Linked DNA regions of Danio rerio. Each later gene encodes a partner of the first gene's protein in a complex. Links are inferred from orthologs where the notes say so. Each region holds a gene or a part of one and is shown in the gene's direction. Other genes may lie near its edges.

What was found. Proteins that work in one complex are often made in the same cells at the same time.
Region 2: sf3b2 (region 1) and snrpg share a complex: the UniProt entries of both Homo sapiens proteins name them as parts of the minor spliceosome. The link is inferred for Danio rerio from reciprocal best matches to the Homo sapiens genes SF3B2 and SNRPG.
Region 3: sf3b2 (region 1) and rbm48 share a complex: the UniProt entries of both Homo sapiens proteins name them as parts of the minor spliceosome. The link is inferred for Danio rerio from reciprocal best matches to the Homo sapiens genes SF3B2 and RBM48.

Annotation. Positions count from the first base shown.
Region 1 is NC_133182.1:6,516,716-6,520,375, forward strand, and holds part of sf3b2 (splicing factor 3B subunit 2), read left to right. Parts: intron 1-2,617; coding exon 2,618-2,706; intron 2,707-2,783; coding exon 2,784-2,975; intron 2,976-3,660. UniProt on the Homo sapiens protein: Component of the 17S U2 SnRNP complex of the spliceosome, a large ribonucleoprotein complex that removes introns from transcribed pre-mRNAs.
Region 2 is NC_133198.1:36,914,729-36,918,488, forward strand, and holds the start of snrpg (small nuclear ribonucleoprotein G), read left to right. Parts: upstream 1-1,538; 5' UTR 1,539-1,655; coding exon 1,656-1,687; intron 1,688-1,922; coding exon 1,923-1,945; intron 1,946-3,760. UniProt on the Homo sapiens protein: Plays a role in pre-mRNA splicing as a core component of the spliceosomal U1, U2, U4 and U5 small nuclear ribonucleoproteins (snRNPs), the building blocks of the spliceosome.
Region 3 is NC_133194.1:42,804,687-42,808,446, forward strand, and holds the start of rbm48 (RNA-binding protein 48), read left to right. Parts: upstream 1-1,187; 5' UTR 1,188-1,264; coding exon 1,265-1,390; intron 1,391-1,526; coding exon 1,527-1,717; intron 1,718-3,569; coding exon 3,570-3,715; intron 3,716-3,760. UniProt on the Homo sapiens protein: As a component of the minor spliceosome, involved in the splicing of U12-type introns in pre-mRNAs.

The DNA of each region.
Region 1 (3,660 bases):
ACCATCTCTTTCTCATCAGCATAGGACTTTAGTCCTGTTTTTGAATCTACCACTATGCTGACACATGGGCATTTGTAGCTCCGCCCTCTTCAGAAAAAGAGCACAATCTCATTTGAATTTAAAGCGACAGTCACCAAAACGGCACAATATAATGCTCGGAATCTTCACATAAACACTAGGGACATTAGAGACTTATTTTGTAAAGAAGTGGCATAAATAGGTCTCCTTTAGTATTGATAATAACCATGTTTACAAGATGAGAGCACTTGAGTGCACTTCAAGCTTAATTACCCACAGGAGAGACAATGAATGTGCCGTTGAGACTCGCATTTGCAATCTGTGTGTGCATTCATGAAGTCAAAGTGAATGTAAAGGCTCTTCAGTTTGTAGCATCATTAAATAAAAAAAACGAGTGTAAGAATAATCCCAGATAGTTGAATGTGAACTTATACAGTGCTCAGCATAAATGAGTAACCCCCCCCCCCCCATTTCTCAGTAAATATATATGCACTTTTGGATGCATTGGTAACACTTTACAATAAGGTTGTGTCAGGTAATGCTTTTACTAACATGAACAAACAACGAACAATACATGTGTTAGTGTTCATTGTTCATTCATGTTAACCCACTATGTAATATTAATGTGAACGAGCACGAATGTGGATGTTAATAATGCATTAGTAGATGTTGAACTGTGGTTAATAAATGCTGTACACGTATCATTCATATTTTGTTCATGTTAGTAAATACATTCACTGATGAAACCTTAATGTAAAGTGTGACCGAATGTTTCATTTAACAGTTCAGTCCATTAAAATAATATAATGAAGATACTACATGTAAATTCAAATGAAAGTTATTATTACAAGAACAATTACAAACTGTTACGAAATGTTAAATGTTTCATTTATTTTGAGAGGGTGCTCGCTGCAGAGCCATTTGAGGAGAGCTGAGCTCCAGCGAGGGGGAGCATGAGCTGTCGCTCCTCCTCCTGTAAGCTGTTTTAATGCGTACACCAACCCTACCCCTAACCCTACCCCCAGTGACATCACTCGTAGAAGAAGTGCAAAAAAGGTGGAGCTCAAGCTTAAGCTCCCCCTCGCTGGAGCTCAGCTCTCATCAAATGGCTCTGCAGCGAGCACCACTTGTTTATTTTCCCCAACATATTCATTTGTGTGCTGTAGGGATGGTAGACAGCTTAAACCCAAAGAATGAGCAGTCTGTCAGATGAAGAAGAGCCGGAGTCAGAGATTTAAATAAATAAATCAAGTTTACTGAAGATAGTTTGCAGTTTCATCAGCAGAAGCCAGCTTCAACACTCCAATGAGTTCCTAGGCCGCTCTGCTTAAAATCACCAATCAATAACAATTATATTCTCAAATAAGGCAATTAACTGCGTCACACATATAGGTGCTCTAACCTGATTGGTTAAAACACAGATAGACTTGGAAAATTTTCATGTGGCATTAAGCGTAAACGTCAGACATCCACTAGACCAGTGGTTCTCAATCTTTTTTCATCAAGTACCACCTCAGAAAAAAATTGTCCCTCCAAGTACCACCATATGACCAGTATTGAAATACAGTAGTGTAGTAGGCCTAATTAAGCAGCTACAACTCTGCACAGTTTAAAAACGTGGCAGATGAATTACTATAATTAATAATATTTATTATTTAAACCTTGTAAATAGTTTGAACGTTAACACTGCTGTGCTGATATGTAAAAAAACAAACAAACAAAATAACATGGCAACGTTTAAATTAAAATTAGCTTTTAAAAGTTCGTAAAAAGTGAAAAAAAAAACTCCTGTACTTAAATGGAAAGTGTAAACCTATAATATCCTATTCATCAAAGCCTGGAAATGCTGCTTGGACCTCATAAATATAGGCTATATGTCATCATGTTTATATATGAACCATTTTTGATCATTTTGAAATATATGTTGCATGTACAAATGACTATTGGATTACTCTGCGTACCACTAGAAGGCAGCCCACGTACCACTAGTGGTACACGTACCACAGTTTGAGAACCACTGCACTAGACTGATTAGAGCTGACTCCAGACCTGTGAAACGGATCAACAATCAAGTAGAGCACACACACTTAAAGTACAATCTGTTTGAAAAGTACATCCTGAGTGAAAATATGCTGAATGAGAGTGAACTGCTGAACTGCACTTAAAGTCTAAAGATTAAAAATGAAACGCCTGAAATTACATGAAACTCTGGAGGAAGCGCATGATAGCCTGGTGATGCCAAATTAAATGTTTTATACTGAAACTTTCCTTCTAAAAGTGCTTCCTTGGTCTTATCCAAATTTCTTAGCACGTTAAACGCACGTCGGCCACAAAAAGAAATTAAAAAACTGCAACTGCGTTAATTTTTTTAACGCGTTAAACCAATCACGTGCGTTAACGCACTAATTTTGACAGCCCTAGTTTTGACAATTATTTTATCCAAAAGTCAATATTTATATTTGAAATATGAAATGGAGATGGGTTGAATTCTCTCTGGGTCTGGACTTAGAGAAGTGCTCATATGTAGGCTGTATAAACTCTGTAAATAATCAAACTGTCTCATGATTAAGTTTCTGTCTTTTGTCTCCTGTTATTTCAGAGGATGATGATGATGATGATCTCGCGGAGCTGACTAATATTCACGGATATTCAGATGAAGATGACGAAAACAGTCTGTCTAAAAAAGACGTGAGCTTTACTCTCCGTCATCCATCCAGGTTGCTCTCCTGATCACTTGTGCTGAATTTGTTCTTGTGTACTTGCAGAAAAACCGTAAGCGCAGGAACAGGAAGAAGAAGAAGAAGAAGAAGCAGCGTGAGCAGGAGAAGGAGCAGCAGGACGAGGAGAAGAAGAAAGATGAGAAGGAGCCGGAGGTGGAGATCGAGTACGTGACAGAGGAGCCGGCCATCTATGACCCCAACTTCATCTTCTTCAAGAGGATCTTCGAGGCGTTTAAGGTCAGAAACTGCTTTCATTTAAAAGGTCACGATCCACACTCGTTAAATAATTACTTTATTTCTTTATTTTTTTTTTACAGATTAAGGTTTTTCGATTTTGAGGGAAATCATATTTTGACGACTTTGTGTTTTCTCCATTGTCAATGCTATTTGTTAAATTAGTTAGATTTTATTACACGAGCTGGATTCACTGGTCAGAATGGTGGGAAATCATAAGCATGAATATTTTGGTCGTGATTAAAATCTTGATTATTTAAAATGATTATTATTGAATAACTTTCCCAGAGATGGGTTGCGGCTGGAAGGGCATCCGCTGCGTAAAAAACGTGCTGGATAAGTTGACGGTTCATTCCGCTGTGGCGACCCCGGATTAATAAAGGGACTAAGCCGAAAAGAAAAGGAATGAATTATTGTATAACTAGTTACAATTATTAAATTACAGTAGAATAAAAATATACAAATGAAACAAACTGCTTTAAGCATCTTCACTGTAATTAAATTGATTTGTTTACTTATTTAAAATTAGCTAAAATGACAAATGTCTGGGACAATTTGTTTTGTGTTCAATCTACCTAAATTTGAACTTAAAAGTTAACACCAATAACTTTTTGGAAATCTTGCCCACTATAATAACTTTTTGGACACATGGTGCACTGTAACGCCTTTTTTGATATGTGGCCCACTA
Region 2 (3,760 bases), on another chromosome or scaffold:
GAGTGAATGTACCTCATTTTTCTATTGTGAATATAGATGTTTCAGTTTAGCTGTGCATTAATCTCTGGCTGTGTTTACTTGCGGCTACCTCAAGTATCACCTGCTTTGTCCCAAAATGTGTGATTTTTTTTTTGATTTTTTTTTTTGACTAATGTTTGTCAGAAAATTTACCTCATGTTACTATGTACGTTGAAATTATTTTTGAATAAATTGGTTAAAATATTCTTGTAAGTTTTGGATTTATAACAGGCCCTAAGCCGGGGGGTTGGGTTGGATTAAGGTAAAGTTCGCACATTCGTTCAGTGACAGCTCCATATATTGTTTACCGTGGTACTTTGAATTTTCGGACTGAAATCAGATGTAAATATGACTTTAAAGCAACATTACCAATATTAAATTGACTGTCAACAATGTTGCACTTTGATGGTTGATGGCTGCTAATATGATTTCACTATTTAGAATTTGCAGTGAATACTTCTCTGAAATTATATTATTAAGGAGAAAGTGTGAATGTGCGAATATAAAAATTAACTTTACCTCAATAGGCTTTGAGGGGTTCGAAAGACCTACCCCTCACTAACAAAGGTCCAACATTTGTTCCATATATGAGCTTGTTTGTCTCATTATAATTGCTATGCTTCATAAATTGTAAAAATAACTAAGCAAAAAGGGTCTTAAAACCAATTGTAATCCTCTGTTGGCTGTTGCTGCGGTGTGACTTCAGCTTATCAGTTTTGAACCTTTGATTATTAATAATAATATGTATTCAAATGGGCAAATTCTAACTGAGGACAGTTGAATGAGCTGGCCAAGTTGTTGTTTGCCCAATAAATGTCGCTATAATAGGCTACAGTTTTTAATTTAAACATTAATAGATTCCTTTTTTTTAATTAATATTGGCTGTAACATTTGTTTTTTAAAAATATGTATTTATTTATTTTTCTTTATTCCAAAATTTTAGGAAATATTTTGATTCATCAAAATTGTGGTTATGATGACTATTCGACAGGTTAATTCAGCTAAAGATAGTGCTTAAAATATCACTAAAATGCAGTATATCTAATAATTAAATAGAAAATGAGGCAAATACCTGCAAAAAGGTAAACTTACTTAGAAAAAAGAACCACCCCTTTTACCAGGCTGGCTATGGGCCTGTATAATATTCATTCATTTTCTTTTTGGCTTAGTCCCTTTATTCATCAGGGGTCGCCACAGCAGAATGAACCACCAACTTATACAACATATGCTTTACACAGCAGATGCCCTTCCAGCTGCAACCCAGTACTGGGAAACACTCATACACTATAGACAATTTAGTTTATTCAGTTCACCTATAGCACATGTCTTCGGACTGTGAGGGAAACCGGAGGACACCCACTCGAACACGGGGAGAACTTGCAAATTCCTCAGAGAAATGTCAACTGACCCAGCCGAGAGTCCGAGACTCGAACCAGCGACCTTGTCGATATGTTGTTGTTGTTGTAGTTCATCATCCGCCGGAGTAGAGGGCAATATTACTCAATGGTGCTAGTACAAGGGAAAAATCCCGCGACCCAAAACGTCACTTCCTGCATTTCACTCATTCTCCGAACAACGCTTGAAACGTGATTCAAACGTATTTGTTTGACAAAACTAGCATATCTCACTAAATAAACATGAGCAAAGCACATCCACCCGAGCTGAAAAAGTAAGTATTTCAAGTATTTTCTTGAGTTTTTTAGAAATTTGATATTAAGAAGTATTTAACATGGGCAACTTATTAACGTTAGCCGGTGTGTGTTCAGTTTAACGGCTAAATTACTTTATTTTCACATCAAGCATAACTTATATTGCTAATCCATTTTGATATATTTTATATGAGTTAGCTTTCAGTTTGGTGGTGTATCTATTGTGAATTAAGAAAGTGCCTTTTCCCCTCTTAGGTTTATGGACAAGAAGCTTTCACGTGAGTAATCTTTTAATAACGTTAGATGTTTCTCTTTCCAGTTAAAATATGAATTATAGCTCAATATTAGGGCTGCACGATATTGAAAAAACTATACATTGCGATATTTTCTTTTTTGTAATTAAGTAATTAAATATTTGAAAAGTGGTTTTGTAGGGGAGTGAAATTTAAATATACATTTTAATGTAGTTTCTTATACAAACTAGTCACACACACAATTGGGTAACGTAATTATTAAAGTGAAATAAACCGTCCTTAATGGGTTTCTTGAGAGTCTAACAGTACTCAGTTGGGTTTCCACAGTGTCTTAAATGTCAAAATCCAAAATTTGGCCATTAAAAAGTATTAATTTGACTGAAATATTGTATTGTGTAGGTCTTGATTCTTTTTTTTTTTTTTTAAAGTCATGTGTTGCTACCCAGTCTGGCCATTAACACCCATACAATCACCAACAATCCTCTCAACAAAACCTTAAACTTTTTATTTAAAAAGGTAATTTTTAATCTATTTACCATAATGGTTTAATTATTTTCCATACAATAACATGTGTTTAAAAGTTCTCCATGTATTTACTACTGAGGACACTGAACAGGAGAGATTGTTGTGCATAGATTTAGTTTATTGTAGTTTTTAAAAGTTTTAAAATATTTGTTCTTTTTTTTATTTTAAAGAAAGTTTATGTTGAGGAAAAAAGTGTATAGATACAATTAGAGCTTGCTTGTTTTTACACAATATTTTGCTAAGAAATAAAATCGGAAATATATATATTTTTTTATTATTATTGTATTATTAAATGTATTAAAATATAATAATGTTTTTGATAGGGCAAATAAAAATCTTTTCCATCAGGGCTATTTGAAAAATTCCTTAGCTTTTAGCACTTTATGGGTCTAAAATGTAATTAATAAAGGTTTTATAAACAATTAAATTTAACTGTATAACCTGCAGAAACCCTGATTCAGGTACTGAAATCGAATAATCAAATGTAAAATAGCACTGTGTAGTCTTCACCATACACAAATTTTAATAAAATTAATCTTTATTAAACATTTTCATGCACTACTAATGTTTTAAACTCTCTTCAAATGCTCAGCCACATGCCTTAAAGTGATGATAAACTTTCACTCTATTGTGCTTAAATTCTGCAGTGTCTCCACAAATCTTGTGTGTTTTGACTAGTGGTTTCTGGTGGTCATCTATAATCCTAACTATCGCCTATCTTGCGATGTAACTAATGCAGATGCACACATTTCAATATCATTGCTCAAGAAGTGATATATTGTGCAGCTCTAATATATATTAATATTATTTCAATAAAAACGTTCAATGATGTATTTTACAGGGTCCCCGCGGGTCCTTAAAAAGTCTTAAAATGTCTTAAATAAAATTTTCGATTTTTAAGGTCTGAAAATGTCTTGAATTCTGTAATTTTCCATAAGGAGGTCTTAAATTTCATGTGGGATCTTAAATATCATGTCCGACTCGTCTTATGTCGGCAAATCAATGCCAATATAAATCGAGCGCAGCGGTGATGTTTGCGCGCGAGGAGAAGTGAACCGTGAGCAGATTACAGACACGCGAGAAAACTACAGCTGCAAGCGCACAGGGGATCTTCACGCGCGCGCTCAACTGATCCAGCGCGAGAAAACAAGTCCCGCGCGCGCACATCATCATCTTATGGCAAGCCCAAGAGCTCATAAAAACACTATTAATCAATCGCGTTTACAATTAAAACGCCGCATTAAACGGCGCTAATACCATTTCAAACGCCGCTAAAAACGCCGTTCTGATTGCAAACGCCGCAAATAACGCGCG
Region 3 (3,760 bases), on another chromosome or scaffold:
ATTCATTTATTTAATATGTGTGTGTTTTGGGGTTAAAACTTATCCAGCTGCAGATATACACACGTTTCAGGCACACACGATCTAAGTTAGACGGGTGTTAATGTTATTAACCTCTTCTCGGACATCATCAATATATTTTACACATAAGGTTATTGTTAATATGTATTGTATAGGCAAACACTGTAAACAATAATGCATAGGCATACCATTTCACAAATATAGCGATCAAGACGGGCGAATGGGGAATAATCACCATTCAATATAATACACTGAACAGTTTTCCATCAGTCATCATAGATGATCAGTCATTATTTATCTGACAAAGTCAACATAGCAGATTCTCGTTTGCTCAAACATTTTAAACGATCTAATTTGGACAGGTTTAATTTATTTAATGGATGCATAATGAATGAAATATAGCTAATGTACAGGATAGGCTAATAGCCTACATCATTATATCAATGTAATGTACAAATCTTTTTACATTTAATAAATGTAAAACACTGTTAATCTTTTACTCCAGCAACTGAATAGTATATATTTGCTTAATTTTCTAATAATTTTTATAATGATCTCCCACATTAAATAGGCCTACTAGTAATTTATAGTAATATATTGAGTTCACCCCAAAAAATCAAATGGGCTCACTATTTACTCAGAGGTTCAGGTGGTTCCAAGCTTTTCTGAGTTTCTTTATTCTGCTGAACACAAGAGATGTTTTGAAGAATGCTGAAAATAATTATATGGAAGTTTTGTATTATATGTATTTTTAAAAATCCTAATTTGTGTTAAGAAGAAAGTAAATCAAAATGGTTTGGAACAAGTCAACAACCTAGTAAATAATGACAGAATTTTCGGTTTTGAGTGAACTAACCCTTTAAATGGGTAAAAAAAGAAGCTTGTTTTAAACGTTAAAAACTTAAAATAAATTTATAATATAGTTTATAATTAATTCGTCTGCATTTATAATAGTTGCGACATTTTCTGCGAGTTAGCATCTTACAATTTTGACTTTTGTCCAAATCTTTTTGATATTTATTTTATTTTGTTAGAAGTGTTTATCATAATTTGGATGTGTAAATGAATTATTATTATAATTATCATCGTCATTATCATTATAATATTTTTTTATCACCATCATCATTATTCTTCTTAATATTATTTTTATTAGCATCCTTTTGGGAAAGCGGGCTTTTATTTATTTTTTCTAATTGGAACTTTTATTTTGAAAGCCTGTTTTTTTTCGTCGCTGATTTCCACAGTGATGGACGGGTCAGTTGCTAGTTCCTCTGTGTGGGACACACAAAAAGTGTATAAACATCACGAGCAGCAAAATGTTGCCCAAACGCGACCAAAATACAGAGAAGGAAGACGCCTCAAAGCTGTTAAGGTCGGTTTATTTTATAAATGCCTTTATCTCATCGAATTGTGCAGCGTCAATGTAAGCAGTCATGTTGTCTTTAAGGTCTCTCTCACAAGAACTGAATCTCTGCTTATAAAAATAATGGCTGAATCGCTAATTTTAGGTGTACACCATCAACCTGGAGTCTCGGTATTTACTAGTTCAAGGAGTGCCCGCTATTGGAGTGATGGCTGAGCTGGTGCAGCTGTTTGCTCTGTATGGAGTGATCGAGGAGTACAGGCCACTGGATGAATACCCAGCAGAAGAGTTCACTGAGGTTTACTTAATTCAGTTCCAGAAGTTGACGAGTGCACGGTAAGAAAAGGCTGATTAAATCATGTCCCATGCGAGTCTGTGCCATATATTATATATTGTGCCATATTTTTCTTGTTGATGATATAATTTCAGAAAAGTATTCTTTGCATATTCTTAATAGTGAATCAAATTAGCAGCTAGTGACTATCAAAGTTCAACATTGTTCACAGTCAAATAAATAGTGGTAATGCTGATTTGAAGTCATACTTGCATGTGATTTCAAACCCAATATTAAAAGTACCATGGTAAACAATATAGGGAGCATGTCACAAGTTGTCATTGAAAGAATGTGTGAATCTAAAACCATCCTTACCTCAATGTACCATGTTGGTGCACTGCAGAGTCGCATTCACTTTTAGTTAAAGGGATAGTTGACTCAAATACTGTAACAATAACAATTTATTCACCCTCAAGTGGTTTGAAACACAAAGGAAGATATTTTGAAATCTGGAATCCAGTAACCATCAACTTGCATAGTAGGACAAATAAATAGTATTGAAGTCAATGGTTACCGGCTTCAAGCTTTCTTTAAAATATCGTTTGTGTTCAGCTCAGACGATGTTTGTGACATGTAACGGGTGAGTAAATGATGTCTATTTTTATTTTGGAGTGAACTGTCTTTGTAGGTTCCACAAAATGTGACTTAAAACATTATGATTCATTATTAAAATATTAAATAAACACATATAGAAAACTATATACAGTACACACACTACCATACAATTGTTTGGAGTCTTCCATTTTGAAAATGATTTTGAAAGAAGCATCTTATGCTCACCAAGTCAGCTAATATTTTTTTAACTAAAAACAAAGCATCAACAATCGGATGTATTATTACATTGTCACATTTTCTATCTTGTTTAAAAGTGTAATGTATTGTGTTGAGGATGAAGGGTAATTTTCATGCTTGGTACTCGCATTTATACATGGTTATTGTCACATGACTCTTCGGAAATAATTAATTTGCTGATTTGTTGTGCAGTATATAATTTCTAATTATTATCAATGTTGTAAAGTTGCACAACTTAACATCCAAAACATCTAAGGGTTTTTTTTTTTTTTGTTCAAGATTCTTTAATGTTCTTTAGTGTCTCTTTCTCTTTAATAACACTGTAAATCTCTTTACTGCCATTAAACATTTTAAGAATATTATAAAGAGTATTTATTGCTGATAATTCTATAAATACTTTTTTACATATTTTTTCCCCTCTAAACCAAAGCAAAAATCAAAGAATAATTATTTCAAATATATGGAATTAAGTAATCGTAGTTATTTTAATTATATTTTAATAAAACTATATATTTTTAGGATAGTGTCAAAGTAAAAATAGCTGTACTGGGATTTTTAAAAATATGCCTGACAAAAATTGTTTTTCTTATAAACTATTGTTACACTGAATGACATCCACTCACCGGCCACTTTATTAGGTACACCTTACTAGTACCGGGTTTGACCTCAGAACTGCTTTTATCCTTTCTGGCATGGATTTAACAAGGAGCTGGAAATATTCCTCATTAATTTTGGTCCATATTGACATGATAGCATGTCATTGAGCAGATAGGATGGATCCATGCTTTCATGTTTGAACTGGAGCAGATTGTCTCGACCATGTACATGCATAAATGAATTGAGTTGCTTTCATGTAATTGGCTGCATAGAAATTGGTGTTTACGAGCAGTTGGACAGGTGTACCTAGCAAAATGGCCAGTGAGTGGATATTGCCATGCTATATATATATATATATATATATATATATATATATATATATATATATATATATATATATATATATATATATATATATAATTTTTTTTTTTTTTTAAATTAATTAATTAATTTATTTTTTTACAGGGCAGCTAAAAGGCACACAGATGAAAAGAGCTTCTTCGGGGGTCAGCTGCATGTCTGCTATGCTCCTGAGTATGAAACCGTGGAGGAAACAAAGCAGAAATTACAAGACAGAAGGAGATATGTTAACTGGGCAAGCCGAAATGCAGGTATGGTAATGCATTGGTATTCTCTCTAAATAAATTGCATGTGTA